4 linked regions of the Arabidopsis thaliana genome follow. The protein of the gene in region 2 interacts with the protein of the main gene of each other region in a pairwise test. Each region holds a gene or a part of one and is shown on either strand. Other genes may lie near its edges.

What was found.
Region 1: the proteins of ESC (region 2) and AT5G10980 interact in a two-hybrid assay, tested with the Arabidopsis thaliana proteins (one large-scale study listed by BioGRID).
Region 3: the proteins of ESC (region 2) and GASA4 interact in a two-hybrid assay, tested with the Arabidopsis thaliana proteins (one large-scale study listed by BioGRID).
Region 4: the proteins of ESC (region 2) and AT5G39580 interact in a two-hybrid assay, tested with the Arabidopsis thaliana proteins (one large-scale study listed by BioGRID).

The regions. Positions count from the first base shown.
Region 1 is NC_003076.8:3,470,373-3,477,879, reverse strand, and holds AT5G10980 (Histone superfamily protein), read left to right. Parts: upstream 1-4,309; 5' UTR 4,310-4,530; coding exon 4,531-4,602; intron 4,603-4,860; coding exon 4,861-5,028; intron 5,029-5,118; coding exon 5,119-5,289; 3' UTR 5,290-5,475; downstream 5,476-7,507. Other genes in the region: AT5G10990 (SAUR-like auxin-responsive protein family), read right to left, coding at 550-996. UniProt on the Arabidopsis thaliana protein: Variant histone H3 which replaces conventional H3 in a wide range of nucleosomes in active genes. Constitutes the predominant form of histone H3 in non-dividing cells and is incorporated into chromatin independently of DNA synthesis.
Region 2 is NC_003070.9:7,268,181-7,275,794, forward strand, and holds ESC (Putative AT-hook DNA-binding family protein), read left to right. Parts: upstream 1-4,375; 5' UTR 4,376-4,843; coding exon 4,844-5,779; 3' UTR 5,780-5,892; downstream 5,893-7,614.
Region 3 is NC_003076.8:4,941,318-4,949,010, forward strand, and holds GASA4 (GAST1 protein homolog 4), read left to right. Parts: upstream 1-3,498; 5' UTR 3,499-3,699; coding exon 3,700-3,765; exon of another isoform or gene 3,766-3,965; coding exon 3,966-4,004; intron 4,005-4,122; coding exon 4,123-4,156; intron 4,157-4,526; coding exon 4,527-4,708; 3' UTR 4,709-4,982; downstream 4,983-7,693. Other genes in the region: AT5G15220 (Ribosomal protein L27 family protein), read right to left, coding at 149-391, 495-619, 720-816; AT5G15240 (Transmembrane amino acid transporter family protein), read left to right, coding at 6,445-6,586, 7,679-7,693. UniProt on the Arabidopsis thaliana protein: Gibberellin-regulated protein involved in the regulation of floral meristem and floral organ identity, and promotion of seed size and weight.
Region 4 is NC_003076.8:15,842,996-15,851,096, forward strand, and holds AT5G39580 (Peroxidase superfamily protein), read right to left. Parts: upstream 6,147-8,101; 5' UTR 6,033-6,146; coding exon 5,643-6,032; intron 5,178-5,642; coding exon 5,015-5,177; coding exon of another isoform or gene 5,011-5,014; intron 4,693-5,010; coding exon 4,286-4,692; 3' UTR 4,070-4,285; downstream 1-4,069. Other genes in the region: AT5G39560 (Galactose oxidase/kelch repeat superfamily protein), read right to left, coding at 1-101; AT5G39570 (uncharacterized protein), read left to right, coding at 1,144-2,081, 2,743-2,965.

The sequences.
Region 1 (7,507 bases), on a different chromosome or scaffold from region 2:
GGTTCGTCATAAGTTGCTTGCGAAACCCAAATTTGAGGACGGTAGTAACATACTAACAACAAATTTTGACCACTTGTATTATATGGGTTTAAAACTAAACCTTGATAGGTCACGCAGCGATAAACATTAATATTAACGATTTGTGTGTATTGATGATGAAGATAAGTCATAAGTGTTTCAGAAATAAATCTCTCTTTTGTTGTTTTGTGTTCGGATGGTGACTACAACACAAATGCTAGGCTACAAACGTAGTCAATCAGAAAAATAATTTTGATCCAAAGGAACATAAAATAAAATAATTAAATGAATTTTATGAGAAAATACAATAAATAAATAAATTTAATGGAAATTGTGGATTCGAACTCGGGACGACTCAGGTGGAACGAATCATCCCACATTTCACGGCCATCTCCTGCGTATCCCCCACCGTGTACTCGAATTACTAACCCGAACCCGATTGAATCAGCCGATTATTCAAAACTCTGCAATTACGAGTAAATTTGTACCGAATCAAACCGGGTCGGAATTAAATGACGATTGTCTCTCCGGTCACCAGATGATAGCCTTCTCGGAGACGCCGTGAAGCAACGGCCGAGATTCCATCAATAGATCCAGCTTGCTCCTAATACCACCGTGGCGATTCTTCTTTAAATCATCGGTACAAGTAAACCGACTTGACCGAGTTATAAACCGAATCGATTCCTCGAAAACCGATTCTTCACACGGGATAACCAACGGTCCCTGGTTAGCAAAACCGAACTCCTCTTCAGCCTTAACCAAGAGATTCATAAGAATGGGGTGGTTCAGATACGTCGCAAGCACCACGAATCTCCTGCAACTTCTCCCAACGTAAACCGCCACGTGTCCTGACGGTACATCTGACGGCACAGATCGTCTGACAGACGACATTCGCGCCTTGTTACGCCATTGCCGAAGCATTTGCCTTAGCTTCACAATGTGTCGGATCTTGCTACATTTTCCGATACCTCCAGCCATTTTTTCCGATTACAGAAGCTTTAACGTGTTGGTATTTCGTTAGACGAGAAAGTGTGAGAAACAGAGAAAATGTGAGGTAGAGAGTTTTTGGGAGGGGGGAGGTATATATAGTAAAGAGAGTAACATAATGCCCTTAGGATTTTGTGATAATTACGAGATTACCACATTGGTTCTTACTTTTGGCTTCTTGCGACGGATGAAACAGGAATAGTGTGTGATTATGAATTAGATTAATTTTATTCGGGAGATTAGTTTTAATTATTATGTTAACAGAGATATTAGATACGATTCTTAGATGAGGAAACATTAAAGATCTTGTGTGTTTTTTTCTTCTTGATGCATTGGATATGTCTGATTTATGATGGATTCGACATGTGAAATTTAGTGGTTGATTATTGGTTAATATAAAATCGTAGGTAGGTTTTTTATAATATGCTAATGAGAGACTATCATGGAAAAACATGATAAACTGGCAGTCATTAGAGACAAAAGAATTTGCTTAGAAATAATTGAATGAAATTGTCAATGATTAGTAATGTAATAAACTTATAATGGTTAGAAAAAAGTTGTCACGTATTGAAAAAAGGAGAAGTAATTTGTAGTATGTGGTAGGAAAATAATAGCATGTGCTAATGTAAACTAAAGAGTGTTGGACAAAAAGAGCAGTCATTGGAAATACTTTAACACCACATTGGGATTTAGAGACACATAAAAGAGGCATTCCTCTCTTTATTATTCATTATATGATATCAAAGTCTTATATCTTTAAATTATGTGTAGCTATTTCTCGTACCAAAATATGCAAGTTTCTATTCCTGCAGATCTCATATTGAGCAGCAAAACATTGGGTTTATAGGAGGCGACGTCAAATTTAAAAGCCCTAAACGATTCCATAATTGGGAACTTCATATAAGCCGGACATATCACGTCGAACAAAAGATCGCAAACAAATATTTGTATATACAATTTAATTTAAAGATATAAATGTTTAATGTTTCAACTTTCAAGATGTAAAAAAGTGTTATCAGTTAGTTCGTGGTCGTACATGCGAAGGAGTGGCTAGCTACAACCGCCGCTCTTGGGTCAAAGTTTTCAATTCTTCAAACTAAACACAAAAAAAAAATGTTCGAGAAAAAGTTAATATACAAATTTTGAATGAATACTAAATTATATCATTATAAGATTAGTATAATTTCAGCGCACGGAAGTGTGAGGTTTCTGGTTAGTTAATAAAATAAATGAAACCCACCACATGCATGCGTAGCAGGAATTGGAGGAAATGTACTTAAACAAATGTAATTTTAATTTTATACTATATAGTCAAAACATAATCGTCTGTTTTAAAGATTTTGTCACCAGAGGCAAATCAGTTTAATTTATTTTTTACAAATAAGTAAGTTTATTGCTATCAAAACAAAAGTATATTATAAGAGACGAACAATAATGTAATGCGGCGTACCAAAACACTAGTTTTTGTAGTTTACGAATGTGTCCACGCCGCCATGTGCGCTAACGTTTCATCTCCAACAAAGAACCCAAAATATTTCTCGTTTAATGTTTGGAGAAAATATAAACTTGATGATTGTCTCTCAATAGACTTGAATCTGATCGTCTCTCAAATTATACTTAACTCGTACATTTTTATGGGATAAAATATGGCCAATTACATAGAACCCACAATATTCCAGTAACTAAAAAAAACAATTATCCACTCTCACCTTAAAATAAAGTGTGGGAGTGATCCAGACAAATATCAAAAACAATGGTTGATCAATAATCCAAAGTTCCAAACCTCGACCACTTATCCATCCTACATATCACATAGTCTGCATGTGACGTGATTTGGTTATAATATTTGCTTAATATCAATTTACATCGTTTTTGTATATTGCAGTCAAGTTAATATATCAAAGGAAATATGAATTAAATGCAAAGGTAATAAAATATAGTATGTATTAAAACAAATAAACTTGGGTCAATCCAAGTGCATGTGGAAGCTTGGATACATTCCCCATGGCCATGGGTTACTTACTAACACTTACTTGTTGAGTTCTAAGGATCTTCTCGTTTGATTTTCTCTTCTTAAGCATATATATTTTCATTAATGCTGCTATGCAGCAATGAGTTTACAGTATAATTGTTATGTCCTGTGAATTCTTTTAAGTATATATTTTGGTAAACTAATATAAAAAGTACTAGAGATCGAATCCATTTAATGAATCGGCATCGGGCAGTCTGTTTCCGCCCTCTTGCACCATGTTCATACGTAGTGACTGAAACTGTGAGGTTTAATTGGGATCAATCACTAACTCTTGTTCTTACAAAATACTCAACTATCTCATCGATTACTATCTTTTGTGTAATGCCTTTTTCTGAACCAACAATATCCATCTAGTAAATATACACATAATATTAACTAGACAGATTATTATAGGTCTGTACTAGAATTTGCTCACCCCCTTAGGAAAAGAGAAAAACTTTGTTACCTAATTACATTTCATCAGAGAGATTAAATTACTTTATGTCGTTCTTAATTCTTATTTTAAAACACGTAAAACTTAAAACTGTATTTTGTGCATTCAAATTTAGGCTTCAATGGCCATAAGCAGAAGTGATAAACTTGAATAATGTTGGGTATTAAATATATATAGCTTTTTCCGTACAACTTTTGTATAGTACGTGAATTCGTTAACGTTCCACACTTACACTCCAATTCTTTTTAAAAGAAACCTTTTGTAAAGATCTATGATACATGTGGAGCAGGAAAACATATGTTCTGTTAAAAACTTGCATTTTCACGTTATAAAAGCCAATTAAGAATAGATTTAACTCAACACGATATCATGCATGAGCAACTTTTTGGTCGATCGGATTTTAGTTAAGAGTTGGGCTGGAATGTTTTCATGTTCTAATACCAAACCGAATTTTAATTATGATGAGGTTATAAACTTATAATTCAACCATGTCCATGTCATATATGTGATGGTTTTAACCCAACCAACTTGAAATCTCGGATCGGAGCGGCCGTACCAAATTTGGTTCGGATCGATATTCAGAACACAGCTGACGAACTCTCAATGCCTTATCAGTTGGGCCTGAACCCAACGCAGTACTCCTACCAAGGGATACGACTCGGCCCATCATCGCTAATTACCAAACATGTAGATCAAATCGTCATTACCTTTTTTCTAACCCAACTAAAATCGTGATTACTTCAAACGACAAACGTAGAAAAGAAACACAAAACTAGCCACGTCATCGATCCTCCCAAGATTAAACCAATCAGAAGCGAGGACGCAGATCGCCAACGTCAGTATTCGCTCTCATAAGTCGAATCTTGACCGTCGAAAATGTGAAGATTGGACCACTTCTGTATTTCCTAATATTAACCGACTAAAACATTCACCTATATAATCATAATCACCTTTTACTATTCCCACACAATCATCAAGAAAACAAAACTCGCTTCCTGATAATCAAATCAAAAGCTTCTCTATCAAGCTTATCGAAAAGTCACATCTTTTGGAAGAAACAATGGCTCGTACCAAGCAAACCGCTAGGAAATCCACCGGAGGTAAAGCTCCCAGGAAGCAGCTTGCCACCAAGGTTTGTCCTTCTATCTTTCATTCATACCGAAATAGTAGATCTAGGGTTCAAATTTGGGTTGAATAACGAGTTTTTGTGGACGAAATCTGAAAAATATGATCTAGGTTTTCTATATTGTGTTGAATTTTTAGTTTATGATCTAATTTAGTATGAATCTTGCGGTTTTGATTTTGTTTATGATGAAATTGGTTGGAAGGGGATCTAGGGTTTATCTAATTTGAGTATTCGATTGCGTCTCTAACGAATTCTTCAATACAGGCGGCGAGGAAATCAGCACCAACCACCGGAGGAGTCAAGAAGCCTCACCGTTACCGTCCAGGAACCGTCGCTCTTCGTGAGATTCGTAAGTACCAGAAGAGTACTGAATTGTTGATCCGCAAGCTTCCCTTCCAGCGTCTCGTTCGGGAAATAGCTCAGGACTTCAAGGTAAAATTTATACTCATTAGCGGCGGATTAAAACTTATCAATTAGGTTATGTTATGGAATTAGGTATACTAATTAGGTTAAATTTTGCAGACGGATCTGAGGTTTCAGAGTCACGCGGTGTTAGCTCTTCAAGAGGCGGCTGAGGCATACCTAGTTGGACTTTTCGAGGATACTAATCTCTGCGCTATTCACGCCAAGAGGGTTACGATCATGCCTAAGGACATTCAATTGGCTAGAAGAATTCGTGGAGAACGTGCTTAAGCTTTTATTTACCTAATTCAAGTTTAGATTTTTACGATGATGTATTAGTATTCTGGATTCTTGTTTCCTATCGCTCTTTTATTTGCTTACCAAGTACATGGTGTTAATTGTTGAACTTACAGCTCTTTTAAGCAAACAGTTATGAAATCTTTCCTTTCCGTTATTGGTTCTTGTTGATTTCTTTGCAAAATTCATTCACAAGTTGCACATAACCCAGAAAAAACTGACAATTTTGATACGAAGATGCATATGAATTTGATTGGATAGTGTGTATGAACGATTGGATAAAACCAACTTGCGATAAAGTTTAAATGTTGCCGCAAAATTCAGAATTATGCTCTTCTCTTTTTTTGAATTTAAAAGGCTTGTCGATGTCAATATGAGCTTCGTAACTTTGGTCTGAAAAACAGATAAGAAAGAGACATAAAAAAGCGTTTTTCTGTTTTAACAAAACAAATTACTTGGAGACAATATGGGCTACATTTTGTTTAAAATTTATTTATATGGGCCAGTTATTGGGCCTTTTAAAATTGTAGATTACATTTTCGTTAACTTGGTCATGTTCGAAAAACTCGGAGTCCTCACGTCAGCGCCGGCGAAATTCCGGTACTGCTCCGTCTTCTACGTGTATTGAAGGTGGGCGTTTCTTTAATAATGCCTGGTTTCTGTTCACAAGTCCAATGTATTTCTTAATTTCATTGAAATTTTACTGTGCCAATCATTGCGAATTCAAGTTGATTGTTGGTTCAGCTTTTTAAGTGTTTGCCGTAGAATTAATCGGATTATCAAAATGCTTGAATCTCCGAGCAAATGAAAAATGCTTTACTTAACTTTAGCTTTAAATATTCGTATCGTTTAGCAATGGTGTCAATTGCAAAATAAGAGAACACTGTAAAATTTCTCATTGCAATGAAAAGATGTCTTTTTTCTTATGGTCATTGCGTTGTAGGAGAAAACAGTGCATCATAAAGGATACGTTTTCACTTGCATTGATTAATTCTATTAATCTGCTGACATGTGGATGTAATTTGGTAGCAACCTGATACTGATCCATCAATATCGTTTTTTTCTTGCTGTGTGTTTCAGGAAAGTGTGACTGAGATTGAAGAGTATTGATGGGGTCAGAATTGTGGTATACATACAAGTAGATGAAAAATGGACCCAAGAGCTAATCAATGAGGTTTGGGTTCATTAGATTTTTATTCCACATGTGTTATTGTCTGCCTTGGTGTTTCTTCTTTGTTTTATTCATTAAGGTGTGTTTTCATTCCTTTTTTGGTTGCTTGTGGCCAATTTTGTATCTGAAAACAAACATGATGATCTGTCTTGTGCCTTATATGTTTACTGGGAAGAAAGTGTACATACTTCTACTTTGATTCTAGGTGAGGAGTTTGATAATCTGTATATTCAGATTCATATGCCAACATTTGGTATTGTCCAACGTTTGGTGTTGAGTGTAACTGTGTCAAATATTTATATTTCTTTATCAATCTATGAGTTATTTTGGCTTCTATGTTGCCCTTTAGTGATAGAGCACAATGGTAAATTCAGGTTGGCCATAATATCTTTGCCTGCTAGTATTCATAAACCTGTTCACAATCATGTGTTTTCTTAAATATTTGAAACACTGAAACTTCGTTCTCTGTGAAAGCTCATGAAACAGTTTTGATGTTTGTCATCTCAAGATGTGTAGAGTTGGAGTCAAGTCCATTAGAATTATGTGAAGTCCTTTTAAATTTGTGTCTTAGTCTTATAAGTCTTGACTCTTGTCCCACCTTTTGTGCATCATACGCACATGGTTGTTTGTACATTCTATTTATGTATATTTAGGTAGTGCATATAGATTCATTCTAAAGGCCAAAGACTAGTCACTCTTTGTCTAGTGTACACAAATTTCGGGTCTCACAAAGATTTCATTGGATTCTTGATTATTTCATGATTTGTTATTAGCTGCATTATTAGGATCATATGATGTATTAATTATGTTTTTTCTTCTGGACTCTTTGTTTCTTGTCATCATCACAACTAACAAGTTCTTATTTTATATTTGTTTTGCTTTCTTTGTGTGTCTTCTTAACTACTTTTCAATAAAAGAATGTTTTTCTTACTTTTAGGTTTCGCAACTCTGACTTTACAATAAGTCTTTTTTCTGGTTTCCATGACAACAAATCTTCCCATATATCTCAAGATAATCTCTTTCTTTCATACACTAAAAAGT
Region 2 (7,614 bases):
ATATTATTTTTATAGTAACATAGGTATATTTGGGAAACCAAGGTCTCCAGGTTGATAGGAGCAATAAAATACTGGTTTCAATTCATACTATTAGAGTTGTCTATGTAGAATCAAATGTCAAGTCAAAGTCGTAAGAGTTATTTATAAATATATATACTATACCTTCATATATAGCTTAATAATATATAGAGAAATAGAAGAGATGGCCACAAAACGCTATGATTAAGGATATGACCATGTAATTATTGATCTGTAGAACAAATTTACAGTCCATTATATTGTTAGATAAATAGATTGATGAATACTTAGTTAGGTTCACGTATTTTATTTAGGTTTGAATCCAAATGATAACATAGTGATAATGTTATCACAAACCATTAATCATATCATGGTACTTAGATTCTCATATTTATTTTTCGAGTAATGTAGATTTATTATCATACGACATACAATACGCAATACTGTAGGTCAATGGAATCAAATCGTTTTTTTTAAGATATAAAAATAATTTATTTATTTTTTACCAAAACAAATGAGGCACAATTTTAAGATTTAATATAGAAAAAATAGAAAAGAATATCAGGGGCGTTTTCATCTATCCACTTTATCAGAAGATCATTGCCAAATATTTTAACTAAAGCAATTTAATTTACTCTAATAATGTGCAACTCATCGTTACGTATTTCTTCTTGTACAAAGCTAACATGCGGGGCATGTTAGATTCCGTGCGACAAACTAAAAAGTATGATTTGATTGATAATTTGATATAAAGAGCTCGATTAGACTTGTTGATTGTTTTCTTATCTAAGGATTTTATGCATCCATATATTCATTATCAACTATGAACTATCAATGAATAATATTTCCAAAGTATGATATTTAGTAAATTAAATTCTGAATTCCTGATAGAAGGGGGAAAGTCTTCACCCGATTGATGTTCGAGTTTTTGGAGAAAATATAATCAAACTTAGCTGAGTTAGAAACTCGTTATAATACATGTTCTTTACTTGGTTTAAAAAAAGCCACGAATTGATAAATCAATACTTTTTAACTAACGTACATAAAATTAATGAGAACTGAGAGTTCAAGACTAGCTAGATTTTTTTTTTCATTTTATATACAGCGAACTCATTGCTTACACTTTCAAAACTATAAAAACAAAATTTAAAGGTGCTGTAGAGAATAGAATCGCTATGTAAGTATAAACTTTAAGGATGGCATTAATATCTTATATACATCTGGCTCGTGGTATTTTGATTGATGAGAAAAGAAAGCAAAAAAAACAAAAGAACATAAATATAGAAGTTAAATTAGCATACTGATTGATGGGTACGGTATCCCTAAATCATCACAATTTTTTGCCCATATTATTTATTGTTAAAGAGGGTATGATATTTAGTCTCACGACCTTTACTTTTTGTTTGATGTTTTTTTTTCTAGATATAAAGAGCCAGCATTTTATTCACCAGTTGTTGGATTTCCCTAAAAGAGATACCCTTTCGTGATCGCATGAGAGCAGACTGGGGAGATACATATATGGAGTAGGGGCGTAGGCTGAAGAAGCAATAGCTAGCCACAATAAAAAGAAGAACAATAACAGCTACAAGATCATCAAGGGATCAATTATGAACCGAAACCAAATTGATATTCTTTAGTGCCTCCGAACCTCACATATCTACTGCATCCTTACGAGATATTTTGGTCGTTGGGAAAAAAAAAAAATATATATATGTTTTGATCAGTTTACGTGTTTGTCGGAACAATTTAGAACTGCTTTTATTCCATGTTTGGTAAATATATAAACTCTTATGGATACCAAGAACTTAACTTAGTTTTCTCTAATGAGTTCTCTAACATTGAATTCCACGCGACAGTAACTGGACGTCTGAATTCATTAATACATATATAATCTTTAATTAATGTGAGAGAAATGTGTTCATGATCTAGACGAGTAGCGACAGCGTCATAAGAACTTAGGTACAGTCACATATTTATAGACTTGGATGACGTGTAGTTCTCTCTCTTTATGGCTTAAAATTAAATTATATATCACATGAAACACCTCTCACTTTTCTGTTTTGGGGGCAAATAAAACATATCTCACTTATTTTCGAAGTATCTTGATAGTTCCACACATTCCGTTTTCGATCGATAGAAAAAAATTGGACCAGTTTATGATTAAAATACCGCACACAAAAGACTTCACGTACGTTTTTGCTTTTAAGCATTAGAAATACGGGCAAAAGACGCGAAAGTAAGTTAGATAGATTCGGGAGGAGTACTGTGATTGGATAAGGTATTGACCAAGTACCGATGATCCGACCGCCTCCACGTGGTCACACAGCTTGGCTTTCACTTTCATGCTCTGACCTTTTGACCGCACGTGACTTTTGTCTGTGCACGTGCGGACCAAGCTAACGTGTCCGGTTCAAGTACATTGCACCGAGCCCTGACTCGCCAGGTTACGCCGATGAAAACGACGGTTCCTGGGTCCCACATGCCATGAGGATGGACGGTTCCGATCCACTTCCTACTTTCCTACTGAGATTGGTCCCACCATGGTTCAGGCCACATGCGTCCACGTTGAGGGAGCTTAGGTGTTACTATATGGGTGCAGTTAAAAATTAAGACAACCAGTCACGGTCCGATATGAGGTCATGCATTAATGGGTCGGATCGAGTTTAGTCAGTTCAATAAATTAAGATGAATAAGTCAATAATTATTTGAATGGGTTGATGCAATTGGTAAGTGTTTTCAGGATTATCGTTTGTTTCCCAAACAATTTTTGTAAATTAAAAGTTTGATATCATTTGTATGAAGATGATATATCAAAAAAAAATTTTACTAATACATTACTCATTCTAAATCAATAAATTATCAGTGTCTAGTTGTCTTTTTCTGGTATATTTTTTTGTCCATGTTAGAAAAAGCGTAGTTCTAATTAGTGATTCACCAAATTCGACATAAGGCAACAAAGTGGAGTACTTATCAATAATTTTTGAAAATATAAAGTAGTAGTATCAACTAATTTGACATTTTGATAATTATCAGCTAGTCTTATCACATTAATGGATCATTAACTTTCTCCAAACTTATCATCAAAAAGGGTCCACTCCGTTTTACGATATTTAAAGGAGTATACATGGGTAGATCTCACTATCTCAGTATAGAACAAAGGACCATTACCTAGATTGATTGTTCTACGTTATGCGCCTTATGCCCTCTTGACAATAAAAGTGAATATAAAGTACTTTAGTAGAACATTGATTCTTTGATATATAATTAGCTCGGGTTTAGCAAGATAATTTAGTAGCAACCAAAAAAAAAAAAAAACACATCACAAGCAGAATTAATCAATTGTTGTTCTGCAGCGCTTAAAAGTGACTAATTCTCTTCTTCTTTTTCTATAGTAAAGATGGTTCGTATCCGTTTGTTTATTATAGAACGTGGGTTCTTCTTAGAATATTGTATTCGCAAGCCATATACTATATATCTATTTTAAATTATTATACATTATATTTTTACAAAATTAGTTGACAAAACTAATAATAATACTATACATGTAAATTTTTTTTCTTTTCTTCTTCTATATAACTCACGTTCTGCATCCAGTTTGAATATGAATAATAACATATATCAGCAGCACTATGCAAATCACAAGCCTACAAATATCTAGTAATAATGCAAGTTTATACTAAGTTTTACAATAAAAAGATGCGTAAGTAAATTAAAATTCTAAATAAAATGACCTATAGTAGTATTTTCTCAAGTAAGAGAAGACTAAATAGTACTATTTCTCATTTTTACTTATACGAAAACCTTTTAATTAAGTTACTAAAACCATAAATAAGTTAGTAACATGATAATAACATTTATCAAATAACTTTTGTTTAAACATAACCTCCACGCGCCTTAAAGGGAATGTAGGATTCGTTTTAATCCTTGTGTACCCAACTTCCACTTGACATTTTTTTTTTTTTTTTTTTTTTGTTAAATGATACGTTTTCTTTAGCTCGTATATAATAGTATCTGATAAACAAATTGACCAAATGTTATCTCTTCTGTTAATCTTATCTCATGCTTTCAAATATAAGAATTCCTTCTCTAAATTTCTTTTGTATTATCCGATTGGAGCCAAACAAAAACTGCGACGAACCCCTAGTTTTCTTTGGTAGATCTTATGTAAGGATAACCACTTACACACATAAATTTTTTTGTCGGCATTTGTGTATATGTAATAAATAGTATTAATTTACTTAAAAAAGAACATATTATTCAAATAATAATTATTATATTAATGATATAATAAAGGGGACTGTTTCTCCGCTAAATTCTCGGTGTATGTCTTTGCTTTTACTTTCCTCGTTCAATGAGAGGACCAAAAATTTATTGCAGAGTCGCACATGAATCTCAAGCTTCTCTCTCCTTTTTTTCCCATAGCACATCAGAATCGCTAAATACGACTCCTATGCAAAGAAGAAGCTACTTCTTTCTCTTGCCCTAATTAATCTACCTAACTAGGGTTTCCTCTTACCTTTCATGAGAGAGATCATTTAACATAAGTCACCTTTTTTATATCTTTTGCTTCGTCTTTAATTTAGTTCTGTTCTTGGTCTGTTTCTATATTTTGTCGGCTTGCGTAACCGATCACACCTTAATGCTTTAGCTATTGTTTCCTCAAAATCATGAGTTTTGACTTCTCGATCTGAGTTTTCTTTTTCTCTCTTTACGCTCTTCTTCACCTAGCTACCAATATATGAACGAGCAGGATCAAGAATCGAGAAATTGATTTGAGCTGGCGAATAAGCAGTGGTGGGATAGGGAATTAGTAGATGCGGCGGCGATGGAAGGCGGTTACGAGCAAGGCGGTGGAGCTTCTAGATACTTCCATAACCTCTTTAGACCGGAGATTCACCACCAACAGCTTCAACCGCAGGGCGGGATCAATCTTATCGACCAGCATCATCATCAGCACCAGCAACATCAACAACAACAACAACCGTCGGATGATTCAAGAGAATCTGACCATTCAAACAAAGATCATCATCAACAGGGTCGACCCGATTCAGACCCGAATACATCAAGCTCAGCACCGGGAAAACGTCCACGTGGACGTCCACCAGGATCTAAGAACAAAGCCAAGCCACCGATCATAGTAACTCGTGATAGCCCCAACGCGCTTAGATCTCACGTTCTTGAAGTATCTCCTGGAGCTGACATAGTTGAGAGTGTTTCCACGTACGCTAGGAGGAGAGGGAGAGGCGTCTCCGTTTTAGGAGGAAACGGCACCGTATCTAACGTCACTCTCCGTCAGCCAGTCACTCCTGGAAATGGCGGTGGTGTGTCCGGAGGAGGAGGAGTTGTGACTTTACATGGAAGGTTTGAGATTCTTTCGCTAACGGGGACTGTTTTGCCACCTCCTGCACCGCCTGGTGCCGGTGGTTTGTCTATATTTTTAGCCGGAGGGCAAGGTCAGGTGGTCGGAGGAAGCGTTGTGGCTCCCCTTATTGCATCAGCTCCGGTTATACTAATGGCGGCTTCGTTCTCAAATGCGGTTTTCGAGAGACTACCGATTGAGGAGGAGGAAGAAGAAGGTGGTGGTGGCGGAGGAGGAGGAGGAGGAGGGCCACCGCAGATGCAACAAGCTCCATCAGCATCTCCGCCGTCTGGAGTGACCGGTCAGGGACAGTTAGGAGGTAATGTGGGTGGTTATGGGTTTTCTGGTGATCCTCATTTGCTTGGATGGGGAGCTGGAACACCTTCAAGACCACCTTTTTAATTGAATTTTAATGTCCGGAAATTTATGTGTTTTTATCATCTTGTGGAGTCGTCTTTCCTTTGGGATATTTGGTGTTTAATGTTTAGTTGATATGCATATTTTGGTTTCTCGTGTTTATTTCTTTTCTTCTCATATCTTCGGTAGATGTTACATGTTAGAGAAATGCATGTGTCTCGTTATGTTAGAAAATTCCTTTCCATATATGGCTTTCTTTTATTCATAGCTAGGGTTTCGTGTTGTACCCTATAACTATTATTATAATTAGCTCGATTTGATAGATATATAGGTCTAGACTATTCAATAATGAGTTCGTTTGTTCTTTTAAGAATTTTGAGCTTCACGGCGTATTCTTGATGAAATATTATGTGGGCACATCTCAGGCGCTCATTTGAATATTTTTACAATACGTCAATACGTTACCTTAATCATAGTATAATATAGTTCTTTCAACTTTTTAACAACCTCAATGTAGTATTCATTATAAGGTTAGAAAATTATTATACATATTGATCAATATATACGTTTTGTGCATCTAAATTCATTATTCGTACCATTTGAGTACTTGTAGCGTCTTTTAGCCGAGTATACCTTTTAAGATCACAACTTCTGTGTCATATCTATCTATCTATACGGTGTTATTGTGTTAAGAGTACTGTCATATATACCCATCTATATATAAGGTGTTAAGAATATGCTTACATATTGATCAAAACGTGCATCGTTCTAAATTTTGTAGTTAACCACTTGCCTGATTAGAACGTCTTTTTAGCCGTTTGTACTTACAGTTGAAAATTCCATTGATTGGTGTAATTGGCTATTTAATTACGACAGGGCCGTCTAAGCGATCTCGAGTCTTACCATCTAGGAAAACAACATGGGCAATTTTTAAACTATTTAGCGTTCATACAGTTTCTAGTGTTTTAAAAATACTACATGTATACCTAGTGGCCATGTTATGACCTTTTTCATTCGATCACTACAGTTACTTAATTACATGCATAAAATATGCATTAATGCTTCAGTTAATTAACCGTCGATCCTGTAAAATAGTTGTATCCAACATTATTCAAAGACAGGTTGGCAACAAGTACGTAGCTTTAAGCTAATATTTATAGGTCACATATGCACAGTACCATTTATGTTATAATCGTAGTTTTTGGTTTGAGATTTCCAACCCCTTAATTTTGGCTGGTATGGAGAATTTGTCTCAACTCTCAACCAACACTTCAAATACATATTCTGCTCTTTCTCAATCTATATATATTTCTGTCCCAACAATTTAAATATATATATGGAATATGGTTTTATACCGGTTTATATATTACTATTTTCGTGTTTCTTCGTCACTACAAAATATGAGTTTTTATATATATATATATATATATTGATAAAAAGAACGAGTAAATGATATTGGGGATACTTGTCTAACTAGAGAGATAAAGAGTGAAATTCTATATTCTGCTAAAACTAATCATATTCGTTAAATAGAATGGAATCATTATCTAACATCCCACTGAAAAGTAAACAAATTCATTCATAGAAGAATATGCTTCTGCTATTATGCAAAATATATAACGAGGGGATTACTTTTATTTATTTCATATCTCATACTACATCTTTATTATTTTCCATTTATTCATCTAATCTTTAACCATTTTTAGAGCATAGTATTGTTTTTTGGGATTTTAGTCAATGTATATTGGTTAAAGACAACCGTTACAGAGCACAGTAGAAACATGAAGTAGAGATTATCTCACGTACGTCGGTTACATACAAATTAGTGAACTTAACATGGTAAGATTAACAATGAACATAAATCATTTGTAGTGTCAGTT
Region 3 (7,693 bases), on a different chromosome or scaffold from region 2:
TCCAGACAAAGACTAGAGGGAAACAAAACAGCAGATGTTATTGAATTGAGTGGTTCTGCTCTAAGATAGCATCATCTTTTACTCGAGAGATCACATGATCTAAAGGAAATGAAAACCACGTTTAGATTGTTGCAATCAGTATTCACGACTATGAAGCTGTCTTCAACTTAGTCGATTGAGCAGCTGCAGCTTTTGTGTAGATAGGGTGAAGAACATGACCACCTGTTGGATCAACATGAATCCATTTGCGTCCTGTAATCTTGCTTTTCTCGAACCTGACTCGTCCTTCCTTCAATGCAAACAGAGTATGGTCCTTACCAATCCCCACATAGTCTCCAGGATGAAACCGAGTTCCCCGTTGACGAACTATGATGTTTCCTGGTATCACACTCTGCAAAATCACACACACACACAGGCAAACATTATTTTCTTCACACAGACCAAGACTGATTTGATTATCAAAATCTTATCTCGCTTGTTATTTATTTTCTTACCTCTCCTCCGAATTTCTTAACACCGAGAAACTTGGGATTAGAGTCACGACCGTTCTTTGTAGAACCAGCAGTTTTCTTAGTAGCCCAACGCTTGAAGACCAAACTCAAGCCACTTGAAGAACCATCTTTAACATCCCCAAAACAAGAACAACAGCAACAATTACACAAATGAGTTAACTAGTTAAGATCATCAAAATATAGATTTTGAAAAGCGCAAATCTATACCGGAAATGCTACTGCCACTATAAGCAGGAACCTCAGTGATCAGTTCCCTCAAACTAACTCTTCTGCAAATGGATGCTGCTGAGTTTAAGAAATTCATTTTTTTCAGGAATCTGCAAGCAACAAAGAGCAATTCAAACATTAATCATTCAAGTAGAATCAAATCAATACTATACAAACCATTTCATCAAATCTTCTCGAGCAAATGGAGTTTTTTCATTCACACTCGAAACTCCACCATTGTCACAAACGTATTAACCTATTGACCTCAAAACCAATTACATTTCCGATCCGATTCCAACTCTCGAATGATACGGTAATAAGAAAGGAGGATACTTACCGGAAAATTTCGATTTCGATTAATTGCGAACGATGACAAGCGTGGCCGGAGATGACGACGGCGAGTAAAATGGCGTCGGCGACGGAAGCGCGATTAGGATGGAAGGGCCTAACTCCAAAACCCCTATTTGTCAAGTGTGAACTATACACGCCCGGAGGGTCCTCATGTTTTCATTTGTTTACATAACGACCCCTACATTTTCATTTGGATCAAAATTGATATATTACTAAAGAGAAATTTGCATAGTCTTTTGTGATTTTTTAGACAGTCAATTTTATTTAATTTTTGAAAATTTTGACACAAAAAAAAGTTGATAGTTCGGTTTTTGGAAAAGAAACCTAATCTAACCAAACTAGAAAAATGTCTTGTATATAACTTATTAGGTTTGTGCAAGTGTGAACAAGATGACATCATGAATGATGGATGATCATTATCTTTTATTTCTTGTAACATTAATAACAAAATGTTATACATTTTCTATACGCATGTGTTTGAAGAACAACTGGACACGATCTACAAGTTTATTTTGTTAGACAGTAATAATCAATATCCATGTGATGGATCACATGCTTTCAAATCTTTTTATTTGAAATCGCATTTCAATGGTCCTACGGTCCGTGCTTTGCCGTGCCGTACCCCGACCCTACAAGTTTCTTATACTAACCCCTTGTAATAAATTTTGTGTCACACCAATTATTTTATAAATCTAACTACAAAGATTCCTATAAATTAGTACCATACAGTTTCAACTAGATTAGGGGAATCAGTAGCTACAAATGTCTTCTACATTAGTAGGTTTGTCTAGCCTGGTTTAGCAAATTCAGACTTATTATAAATAAAATTAAGTTGTAGTCTCTCATAAACCGAATTTAAAACTTAAACTTAAACAAGACATCATCCTTGGCTTGAATCAAACATAATCTGAAGATAATGAAATGATCCAACTGGATTATACACCAACACTCTTATATATAATCTTCACCTTGGAGTTAAGCTTATTCATTGTCATTTCTTACAAGTTATCATGATCTTCTTATACATTTGTATATATCCTATACATAATATAATAACGAAGGTAAATCTTGTTTTCCGCCAATTGATCTGGCTAAATATATTTTCTCATTTACTTTTTTTTTTTTTTTTGTGACGTCTCATTACATACATATTATTGTTATTTTTGGGTATAAAACAACTTTAATCGTTACTAGAAAAGATAACATTTCTTATGAAAACCAAAAAATATCCCAATGTTCCCTCCTTTTCTCCGAGCAGATCGACTCAAAACAATAATTGGGTGAGCATGTGAAACTGGCTAAAACTGCACATGCCTTCTCTTTTTCTTTTCTTTTTTTCAACCTTTTATTTAGTTTTCTTTTACTTAAAACAACAACTTTATATGATCTGATATTCAAGTTGGGATGTGAATGCGCATTTATGTTTGGGTGTGCGCATATATACGTTTTTAGTTTGTTGCATATATATGTGTGTGTTTCAAGTTGCTTATTCTTTCGTTAATCGTGATTTTTCTTTCATTTCCCAACTTGAGATGCTAGTGGTGAGTTACCTGTGTTTTAAGGTTCACAGCACTTTTGTAATATCTCAAATCAGGTGTAACAAAAATGTTGTATATATATCTAGAATTCTAGATCGTAACTCTAAAACAGTATTCTTCTGTTAGCTACTAGTATTTCATTTGCCCTCGAATTATAACAGTGGATCTAGATCTGGTTTTTCTCTGGAAACATATCAGAAGAATTAGAGTAATTAATGAATTTATCTTGACTATCTAAAGAAATTATCTTGACTATATGTTCATGATCCGTCAACAAATAATGGTATTTGAATGAATAATAGTATAGTAAGAGTGTGATTATAATTTACAGTTGGGACCGTTGGTCAGATCTAACTCCCGTCTCCTTCTTCAATGCACCGTCCCACCTTTTTTTGTTCATTGTTAAAATACAATTTCAATTATCTTTTATAAACTCTGATAATATATTTGTGGTTAAAAAAACCCGTTCAATATTGTCTTCCCACCAAGCAAGCACCCAATTTAAAGCCACAAAATAAACCCTTTTTCATTTTCCTTCTATAAAATCGTAGTTAGATGGATATTGAGTTTTAGTTTGGCATTTCTTAGTTAAAATATTCACCCTAAAATGAATCTAAAAATGTACAAAATCACAGGAAAATAAAACTAAGCAGAAATGTCCTAAGAAAACTAAAGTTTTTAAAAAATAATCTTCAAAGAGATACTCCAACTGGTGTTATAAGCAAAACTTGATTTATCAAAAACAGGTTCATAGTATTTTATATTTAGTACTATAAGCTTTCCTTAAACCATGTGCAAAACCATCTACCGCAGTCTAATTACCAATAGCAAGTAATAAAATGGGACTAACATTGGAGGCATACGTGGAATAATATAATTGGAGGAATACAGTAATAATGATATGTGTTGCCACAGGGAATAATTGATACGAGCAAATGTGTGTATATATAGCTTATATGCAACATCATTGGGTCCTCAACCAAAAACTCCTCTCTCAGTACACTTCTTTTCATACCTCAAGAGACTAAAACTAGTTTGAGGAGATTTAGAGGAGTGTTTGGTTCTTTGGATAACAATATCCCAAACTGAAAATGGCTAAGTCATATGGAGCTATCTTCCTCTTGACCCTCATTGTCCTCTTCATGCTTCAAACCATGGTAACACCTCTATTATTTTTTTCTTCTTTCAATGTTTGAAAATATTGAAGATAATATATTTGATTGTTTTCCTTATTGACGAACGATATGAGACAAATGTGGGTTCTATTATTGTACTTTTAGTTGGAATATATTTAATTTAGCCTTTTTAATGAAATTAATTTTACTTGTTTTTCCTCTCTCTTTTTTTCGTTTTTTAGGTTATGGCCTCAAGTGGATCTAATGTGAAGTGGAGCCAGGTCAGTTTTATTATTGAATCGACTAGTAATTACCTTTTAAACTATATTTTATACCTATTGTTATCTCGTAACTTAACGAAAAGTGATTAATTAGTTACCTTTTTTGGTTAATTTTCAGAAACGTTATGGACCAGGAAGCCTGAAACGTACCCGTAAGTTTTTTCTTCACAGCTATTCTTAAACAATTTTTTTTTAATCTCATAATCGACGAAAAATAAACAATTCAAGAAATCTTTTATTGTGTTATAATAAAAAAAAATAAGCATTTCAGTTGCAGAAAATAAGTTGAAAGTGAAGTGTTAAGTGGACTGTTTGGTCAGATCCGTAGACTCAAAATATATTAGATATTGACGAAATTGCCCCTTAATATGGTCATACAGTCAAAGCAACCCACTATCTTGAGACCCACAAAACAGTAAAAAAAAAAGCTAATGAATTTCCACTAGATTCTGTTGTTTTTATTAGTAATAAAAAATTTTTGAGTGTTAACATTTTGATATTGTTTGTATTTGAAACAACCAGAATGCCCATCGGAATGTGATAGGAGGTGTAAAAAGACACAGTACCACAAGGCTTGCATTACGTTCTGCAACAAATGCTGCAGGAAGTGTCTCTGTGTGCCTCCGGGTTACTATGGGAACAAACAAGTTTGCTCCTGCTACAACAACTGGAAAACTCAAGAGGGTGGACCAAAATGCCCTTGAAAAAATCTCCCTTCGTTCCCTTTTTATAATAAAAATTTTCAACTATAACTAAATTTCCTTTGATCAATGTTTTATCTACTTTATTCCTAATGTTGTAATGTTATGTCACTCCTTTTCGGATTTTGTTCTAAATCCTAAAAAAAATGAGAGTGGCCCTATGAATGATATTTTTCATGAATACTTGTGTTTCTAAAGATATTTTCCCATTCATCCACCAAAAAAAAAGATATTTTCCATTTCGAAAATAGTAATACTATAAAGGGTAAGGCAAACCAAATAATACAATTTAAAAAATTCCTGCGAAAGAAGTATGCATATGTAGAAAAGAGTGACATTGGGTCTCTCGGCCCAGTACTAAAAAGCCCATTATTGATTTTTCCAAGCTTTTTACAAAATCACGTGTTCTAACGCGATTGCTTTTTGCCGCAATCTTCTTTTATACAAGACTTGGGCTTTGGGCAGTTGGAAATAAATAACGACAACGATATTTTACAATCGGTGCAATGATATGAACCACAAACTTATAAACGTTTTACCCGTTCATTACCCTACGTATCAATAAATACTCTTAATAATGCCTTATATATTGACATTAATCGACAAGAAATATGAGGTTTGGAGTACAACTATAGTTATTAGCATTAACAACAAAGCTCAATTTAGCTCTCTTTGTTAGACATCTCACATGCATTTTGAATGGTGATCTTGAAGAAGATACTTTTTTTTTTTATCAACATGTGCATGCTATTTTTTCACAAGCACAACATGGGGAAATGGCCGGCAATGAGTATTCTTCTTTTCTAAAGAACTCATTTTGTAACCTATAAAAGTTTTTGGTTTCGATTTCTGAATGAAAACATATTGGATAACTGTAAAAAATTTGCAGTATGGTTTTAATAGTAACGAAAATATATAGATATATATGTCGATATTTTCATTATTGTTAGAACTACTCGGCACCTTGTAGAACATAACTGTAAACTAGCGTCAAGATATTGATTTACGTCAGATCAAGGCTATTCATACTTATCTACTCTTTAGGTCTGGGGATTCACTTGTCAACTATTTTTAACAAACGACAACAAAAAAATATGTGACGATTTTTCAAGTGCTCCAGTCTCGTCCAACAGATTATTGACATGATATACTACTTTGGACCATGTATTTTTATGAAAATTTGATCCCTCTTCAGTCTTCACCGAAAGAGGATTTGGTACTTGCATTCTCTCTATCACCTAAGTTAAACGCCCTAACATTAAAGTGGAAAACTTCGTGGAGTTTTATTTTCTCTCTTCCTACCAATTTTCTTATACAACTAACATTAAATTCTAGAACCACACAAATCGCAAATTATGGTAGATTTGTGTGTAAGTGGTTATAATTTTTTTCTATATAAAGAGTTGCACTTAAATTTCAATTAGTTTCTAAAAACCCCATCCACGAATATTTAATTGGTCAATAAACATTAAATAGAATTCCACTGCCACGCTAATATCGTGTAGATATCATATGTGCATGGATACTGCATAAAAATCAGCTCTAATAATTGATGTAATTTAAAAACATTGACCCTAGTAAATGTATTAACACTATATATATTGCCTTTTGAGGGTTTCTTTATTGTTTACTTCCAAGTTCCAACTTCTCTCTATCTATTTCCTTCGTCTCTCGATCTCTCCGTCTCTCTCTCTTTGTCTCTTCGATATCCAAAGAGCAGAGTCAAAGACTAAACAAGTATGAGCGAGGACAAAGATTACATGTCGGAGCCATTTATCGTTAAGAAGATTGATGATGAAGAATCATTGCTTGATGATTATAATCCACAGGGCAATACTTCTTTCTCCAAGACTTGTTTCCATGGCATTAACGCCTTATCAGGTTTAATTTCCTCTTCTTCTTCTTTTTTTTTTTTTCTATTTTCATTTTCGTGATTGATTTTTTCTTTTTGATTTATTCACCACTTCTTCTTATCTCCAAACTCCATAACTCACGGGGAAAGATCCAACTCTTAGCATGTCCACATATATGGATAGGATATATCTTAATTTTCAAAATAATCTAGAAAAAACTATAATTAGCTTTATTGTACTTAATTTCTATAGATGCATGTTTTTAACTCAAGCTTTTGACTTTATCTTGTATCATCTAGATTGGTGTGTATTTCAATCCTACATTTTGTTTCTTTACCTCCTAGTCTTGCCTCAGTTTTTTTAGTTATTTAATTTTTCTGTTGATAATTTATCATAACCAAGTTAAAACCAGTTCTACTTAGACTGAATTGTGTTTTTCTTCGTCTAGATTCAGTTTCATAGTCTTTGATAAACAATAGTGCTAAATAACCAAATCATTTTTGTTCTGACTATTAAAGGTTAGGATGGTTCCGTTTAACTGAATTTAACACTATAGTATTAACAATTCGGCAAAGTTTTCAATGACTATTGCTATTATTTATTCGCTAAATGTGGTAATGGCCTAATAATGGGTTTATCAAACTGGCCGCTATCGTTGTACTTAATTGTTTATATACCAAACTAGATACTTAGTTTATACTAAAAAAACTAATTATATACTGGAAACACGTCTGACCAAACTAGACCAAACTAGACCATATACGAACAAAAAACAGTCCATATAATTAAATAGAAAGAAACCAGCAATTCCAATTATCTTTCAGATATAAATACAACGTGTCACTGAACAAAACCTTAACACATTAACAACACGTCTTCCCTTTTCAATTTGTGTTCTTCTTCTTCTACAAGACTACAAACCACTTTGATAAAATCAAATCATATTATCTTATTGGTAACGAGACCACGAATATTTCTTTGCGTTTGTGTTTTCAATTAAAAACTGCGTTTGCGTTTTCATATATACAAAAAGAACGTTTGTAAATAGTTAACACAAAAAACGTTAATTAGCATATGCGTTAGGCTTGGACATTCTTCTGATCAACTCTTTTTTTTTTAGGTGTGGGTATATTAT
Region 4 (8,101 bases), on a different chromosome or scaffold from region 2:
TATGGGAGTGACATCAACGACGGTGGCTCAGAACTCAAACTTCTCTTCTCTTTTGGTTGTTCAACTTCGGAGATCATGGTCGCCGGAAATGGTAGAAGCATGCAGTGAAGAAGATAGATGAGAAATTAGGGTTATATATAGATTACATATCTAAATATTGTGGACATAATTAGTTGTGGTGTCAAAAAAAAAAAAAAAAAAATTAGTTGTAGTCATTCATTGTCCAAAGATTTGTTTATAGACATAAATCATAGCTTATAAGATTTTTTTTTCTAAAGGTAAATAATGGTTATAGTTTATAAATAATTAAAATATAAAGATCTACAAGGCTTAAAAATAAAAATTCAAAAGGAAATTAAAATCTACAAAATAAACCTAAATGTAAAAACCATAAAACAAAAAAAATCAAGATACACTAATTCAATTGCATTAATTCATAAATTTTATCCTTATTTTTAATATATTAATTTCTTTTTGTAAAGGTAAACAATGGTTATAAATAATTAAAATTGGAAATAAAGGACCTTAAAAATATAAGATATACACAAAACCTTAAAAAGCCTCATATCAAAAGGAAATTAAAATCTACAAAATAAACCTAAATTTAAAAACCATAAACCAAAAAATATGAGGCACATTTTCTTTCTTTTCCAAAATCATAAACCAAAAATTCAAGACACAATAATTCATAAATTATATTCGTTTTTGTAATATAGTCCCTTAATGTATTATTAAATCATACTTTCTCCCATGGTTTGGTTCCCGGTTAAATCAGTCGGCAATTGGTACAATCAAATTGGTTATTACCAATTAAGATAAACCCACGTGGCATAGCTTGCCCGAATCGTAGTGGTCTCCATGTAAACAGCAGGAAGATGGGATCCACAATTATTCATTCAAAACGCAACGTTTTTAAACTCTTCGTCTTCTTCTTCCCCCGCGTATAAATTCTCATTTCTGTCATTTTGATCAGATCCAAGAAACCAAAAGAGTAAAACAAACACAGAGAAGCTTCTTCTTAAACGATGCCGTACTATACCAGAGATGACAACGACGTCGACGATTTCGATGAGTTTGATCCAACGCCGTACAGTGGTGGTTACGACATCACGGTGATCTACGGCCGTCCGATTCCACCTTCCGATGAGACTTGTTATCCTCTCTCATCTGGTGTCGATGATGATTTCGAATACGAGAGACCTGAATTTACTCAGATCCATGAGCCTTCTGCTTACGGTGATGAAGCTCTTAACACAGAGTACAGTAGCTATTCTCGACCCAAGCCACGACCCGCATTTCGACCCGATTCAGGTGGTGGTGGTCATGTTCAAGGTGAAAGACCAAATCCTGGTTATGGATCTGAATCCGGTTATGGGAGGAAACCGGAATCTGAGTACGGATCTGGCTATGGTGGACAAACGGAGGTGGAGTATGGTCGGAGACCTGAGCAGAGTTATGGATCTGGTTATGGTGGAAGGACGGAGACTGAATCGGAGTATGGATCTGGTGGTGGTGGAAGAACTGAGGTTGAGTATGGTAGGAGACCTGAATCAGGGCTTGGATCTGGTTATGGTGGGAGATCGGAGTCTGAGTATGAGCGTAAGCCTAGCTATGGAAGGTCTGAGGAACAAGAAGAAGGTTATAGGAAGCCTAGCTATGGAAGATCTGAAGAACAAGAGGAAGGTTACAGGAAGCCAAGTTATGGAAGATCTGAGGAGCAGGAAGAAGGATATAGAAAGCCTAGCTATGGAAGATCTGAGGAGGAACAAGAGGAAGGTTATAGGAAGCCTAGCTATGGAAGATCTGAGGAACAAGAGGAAGGAAGTTACAGGAAACCTAGTTATGGGAGGTCTGATGATCAGGTGGAGAGTTACATTAAGCCTAGCTATGGAAGATCTGAGGAACAGGAGGAGGGAAGTTACAGGAAGCCTAGTTATGGGAGGTCTGAGGAACAGGAAGAGGGGAGTTACAGGAAGCAGCCTAGCTATGGCCGTGGCAATGACGATGATGATGATGAGCAGCGTAGGAACCGTTCTGGTTCTGGTGATGATGAGGAAGGGAGCTATGGCCGCAAGAAATATGTAAGTTGAAGAAATTAATATTTTGTTGAATCCTTTGGTGATCATATTGTAGAGTGTAGAGTAATCCAAAGTTTATATCTTTAGTGATTGTTTTATGATCATTCATGATTTAGCCATCTATAAACATCATTATAAAGAACCTGTCTAAAGTCTTTGTTTGGATACATACATGTCAACGAAATGTATCTGTTTCACAGTTTACATGAATAGAAAGCTAGTTCTAGGATTCCATTTGACTTTGGTGGTGTAGTATTCGATTGAATATGGACAACATTTCGTTTGGTTGAATTATGCATAGCTTGCATCTAGGTTGTGTGGAAATTAAGTTTGATTGGTTAGCACTGAAAACCCTTTGTTGATCATAGTGTAGAGTAACTCGTTATTGAACTAAAGTTATATCTTTAGTGGTGGTTCTTGTCGATTAATGATTTAGTCATCTGTGAACATCCATTAAGAAGAACAATGTTGTCTAGTTACATACTTACATGTCAACATTATTTTATTGAATTTGGCCATCTTGAGGATATCTGAAGGTCTCTCTTTCCTTTCTTATGGTCATAGTTCATAGCAGCGGCATCATTAACCTGATGTCATTGTATGGGTCATTACATAGGTTACACTTTTGACGTAGTCCTAATTATTTCCAATACACAATTTGCAGGGTGGCAATGACTCTGATGAGGATGAGGAGAAGAAGAAGCACCGTCACAAGCATCACCACCAGAAGCGTCGTGACGAAGACGATGAGTAAACTAAACCCTCTCTGTGCTAGAGAGTGTAATGAGAATGTGTGTTTGCTTAGCCTCAAAAATCTACTAAATAAAGAGCTAAGTCACATACCTTTCTACATAATATCTTCCGACGTTGGTGTTGTGTTTGTTTGAATCTCTGTATTATTACTACAGAGTCTTCGTACTGGTTCATAATAAGACCTTTAAGTGGTATTGGGTCACCATGTAACTGTTGCTACTCTGTTTCGTTTTCTATCTATCGTTTTGTGTTATGATTTACTTTTCTATCCTTATATAATTATGATGATCATTTCGTGTAATATCAGAATGTTTTTTGCATGAATTGGAATTAGATGGAAACTTTGTTTAAGAAAATATCAGGAGTCTTGTTGCACCATGGTCCCAGTCCTCAATAGTATTGGCGAGTCTAAACCAAGAAGCTAGAACCAAGAAGCTAGAAATAGGATCCAAGACTAAGTTAGGAAGACTGATATATGTAACTAAGACTTCATGAACCAAATATAAACCTTAATTTTGTGGATCATATGAATACAGCGCGGCACATTAGTCTCCCACACAAAACAAGCCCAATAGTGTGAGATGGTCACGCCTGATAAGGTTTTCTATATGCCTTTTAGTTCTCACATACGAATTCAAAAACTCTATCCAGTGAAAGAAAGACCGTAAGAAGAAGAGAGAAAGAGACAAACCTGGTTCTCATGCAGGATTTTCAGGACACCGAGCAGAGGCTCATCCACGCTTTGATCAGGCTAGCCGAAACTCTAAGGGTTGCGACTCGGCAATCTTTGTATTCGACGGTGGTGTTTACATTCCAATGGTTGGTTTGTGATACCGAACCGTTTAAATTAAATACAATTTGAATTTGGTGAAGAATGGTTGGTCATGCTCAAACAAGTGAGGGTTGATCTTGTTCAGTCTAGGGAAGATCGATCGTGCTCGGCCATACCTGGTATTGGATTAGTGTAGTGTTACAATGATTTATGTATGTATAAATCAGTATCAAGAGAACAGTCTTTTGAGGAAGGCTGACGGAAACATCTCGACCTAGTACTCCGTGTTAGGGTGTTTCGGGCCGATAGGTGAAATGTAGGCTTATCAAACTGGTAGGTTGAACTCACTGATTAAGACACTCTTCTCTCAGTTATACTTTCACATTGTTGAAGCTTCTTTGATTCGAATGATCAATTGGATCAAGGTGATAATTAGTATTCCACGGAAGGTTGGCGATTAATAAAACACCAATTCTATTCATGTAACGAAATTGAACTTTATTTATTCCACCAAGTCAAACCGAAAGAAATGAAATACATTTATCAGCAACCCACTTTTGGGTTTCTCTCATATCCTTTCTATTCTATTGGGTTTAAATTTAAATCAAACTATAAAAAAAATGCCCTTGAACAAGAGTTAGCCATAAACACTTTTTTTTAGCCATAAAAACTTAATCACTGATTAATTAACCGCAGAGCAAACCCTACGAATTTCTCCATTTGTCCCCGTCTTCACACCAATATTACTCATTTTAACCATTGACCTTGCGAACTGGACATTGAAGTTGCCTCTAGGTGCCATAAACTCTTGCACTATGGATCTTGTGGCCGGACTAGTCCAAAGAACGTGATCGGATTGAAGAATTCCTCTGTTACGGCTGAGATTGATGAAATAAGATGTGTCAAAAGTGTTTCCACTTCCGGTGTCAAGATCAACACGTGCTGATCCGTCGCCGTTTTGGGGACAAAGTCTTTGAAGTTGTGGTACAAATGTTTGGTCCATTGTTGGATCTGCTGTGTTTCCGCTCGAGTTGAATATCCTGTTCGTGATAAACCCACATGCAGCTGTTCCGATCGTGTGTCCTCCTCCTATTAATTCATATAGGTTCATCTTCAGTTTGATTAACAATATAATTGAAAAATATATATATGTAATATGTACACCGAAATAAAACTTAATTTTCTTTGAAAAATACGAAAATGTTTGGTTTAAACATGAACCTGATCCTAGAGTTATCCTTATTCTTATGCAAATTAAGTACGAGTGACAATAAACCATGCAGTGCACAACACTAACTATTAAAGTGAATATTCAAAATATGAAAGAAAAAAACACGTACGAGGAGTTTCCATCCAAACTAATGTATTGGATCTATTCTGATTTCTAAACGGTGATATATAGGTTACATACCAACAAGAGTGACGAGATCGCGAGTGTTGAGGCGAAAAGCGGAGAATTTCCTTTGTTGAATGGCTAGAGAGTCACTTGGAGAAGGAAGATTGTTAACGTTCGATGCCAAGGAAACTCTTCCATCTCTACGTCCTGTTGGAACTTGCCAACTTTGTCCGTTTGTCTACATACACCCATGCAAATTAAAGCCAAACAAACGTTAATTACTCTCTGTCCGCTTGTACATTATTTTTGTTTTTACTTTCTTTGTAACCAATACTAAGTTAATATTATAGAAGAAACCAAGTAAAACAAACATAAATGTTACACATAATTGTTTGAAAATATAATATTATAAAATCTATATTTTTTTCAAATATATGTTATGTAAGTTCTTAAGTATCAACGTTTAGTTTGTAAACACAAAACCAAAGAAATGAAGAAACGTAATCTTTGTATTTTGGCGTATATATACCTTGTAAAATTAGTTAATATAAAACAAAAAATTGTGTTGCCTTTGTTAATCCTCTTTACTTACTCATATCTAAATACAAACACAAAATATTGGCATTTAAAACAATCAAGACATAGTTCTTTGCTTATATATGATATATTGATTGTTGTATAATTAGTATATATATAAACTTACGAGAGAAACCGAATCACGAGCCGCTAAGGCCAAGATATCAGCACAAGAGACAACACCAGGACATGCTGCCTCGAGCTGCCTCTTGGCATCGTCAATGACCTCAAAACCATGGAGGTTAACGTTTGCGCCAGCGGTTCTTTCAGAGTTAGGTCCCGATAAAAGCACCGAACCATCACAACCTTGGACAAAGCAATCATGGTTGTGCATTCTCAGTAACCCGGGTGCAACCTTTGGATCTGAACCAAAGTGAGATGCCACAGTGGTCCGAACAATTGTCTCGGCATTAGGGCACGTAGTCGAGTAGAACCCGATCCTCGTACCTTGGCCATAAACGGCGATGAGACAACTAAGGAAGACTATGACCAAAGCAAATGATCGGACCAAGCCCATTTTTTCTTTTTGTTGGTTTGTGTTTTAGATAAGACCGCAAGTGTGTTTCGAGTTAGTAGATAGAGTTTGTTTTAGATGCATGGAAAGTGATACGAGAACGTGAGTAACTTATAGAGGGATTGAGAAGTCAAATGGTGATGTTGAAGTCAGCGAAAGGGGCTAGAGTGTTGAGGTAATTTGACAAAACGACGACGTTGTAATCCAATTCAAAACTGAAAACCGCGTTATGTGATTGGTCATGAGCTGGCTTCGCGCGTTGACGATTGCAGATCATGTTGGGTTTGTTTTTTCTCTTTTGTTCGTTTCTATCAAACTAATTCCTAATTAATAGTGTGTAATCATTTATAATGAATGTGATTATAGAATATTGTTTTAGCAGGCGTTAAACTTTGATTCAACTCTAATTCTTTATTAAGGAAACTCGTATTAGTGCATGATATTTTCATCTACAATGCACCGACTTTGGACTGGTTAATCGAATAAGTGTTAAAATACTTTAGGAAAAGAAAAAGTGTTAAAATATCCAAAACATGAACATCCACTATTCAACAAAAGTTCACTGACCGTCTCACAAAAGTGTTAAAATATCCAAAACATGAACATTCACTAATCACTATTCAACAAAAGTCCACGGACATCACTATTCAACAAAAGTCCACGGACCGATCCATCGTGAGAGATTAGTGTATTGACCGGAACATATAGATAGTATAGTCTTTAACAAACAAACAAATAACAAAATAGTATAGTGGGTTTTCTTAATAATTAAGCTTTGTTTCTTTGACTGGTTCGGTTTGTTTTGTTCGAATTTTAGTAATCTGGAAATGGAAGAATGATGTCGAATTTTTCAGTTCGATTTTTTGGTAAAGATATATATTTCGGATAAAGATCGGGTTCTACCCGCACCAGGTTTGCTATATAGAATGATGTTGTGATGATAAAGATTAATTCTATACGTTTACTTTCATAACAGATTAATGACTAATGGCGACACGTTGATTGGTGGTGATCACTGATCAATAGCCAGAACTCATGCTGACTAAGACTAACCATCGTTGTTGGTCCATAGGAATTTTTTCTGCAATTAATTTTTATTTGAAACAATAAAAATTTGTAACAGAATAGTGACATATAACAAATAAAGAGTTTTCTACTTGTCCCTTTAGGATATAATAAAGTCAGATGTTTTAAAAAGAAGAGTTTTCTATGAATTCCTGTTTCTTAAAATAATTTTTGTCAATATAGATGTTATTTTCCTATAAAAATCCATGCATGACGTTAACAAAGACTAGAAAAATTCAAAAATTGAAGATTATCATATATTATATCTTGTCGTCGTTGATGTATATTCATCGACCAAATTTTGGTCTCTACACATATGTATATATTGGCGTCGAAGCTTAAAAGAAAAAAAAAGTAAAAACCCTTATGGTCTATATATAAATCTTGTTTTTATGGTACCAAAACCATATTCTAACTAATCGTAACGCAAGTGATCGTCTTTGCTTCAAATGTAAAGCTAGATAACCTGAACGAGTTTGGATGCTGGCATGCTGCGACCTTGAAGTCGGTCCATTGGGTTTTTATTTGTACATACGGACAACATTAATTGCCCATGAGTTGCTAAAATCCTTCTCTGGGTCTTGTTACAAGCACCCTCTTCAAATTAGCCTCTATATATTTTGCATGAAAATAGTCTGAGATTTCCCCGCAAATGATATTTGAATTGGAAATAATTTTTCTCTAACCCCTAACCCCTAAACCCTAAACACTAAATTGCATAATCTCAATTTTTCTGTTGAGCACATCTATCTAAAGATGTTAATTGAGCTGTTCAGATCTAAATGGGTGAAGTCCAAATATGAACAAAACTAATGATACAAACTCAATAGCACCGTATCCAAATATGACCAAACTCAATAGCACCGTATCCAAATATGACCAAACTCAAATAAGACAATGATTAATTAGACAGTGTATGGAACCTAAATATATAATATAATTTTCTATTTTCCGCAAAAACACATTTTCTCTCAAACTCAAAGAATTGCATATTTTTTAAATTACAT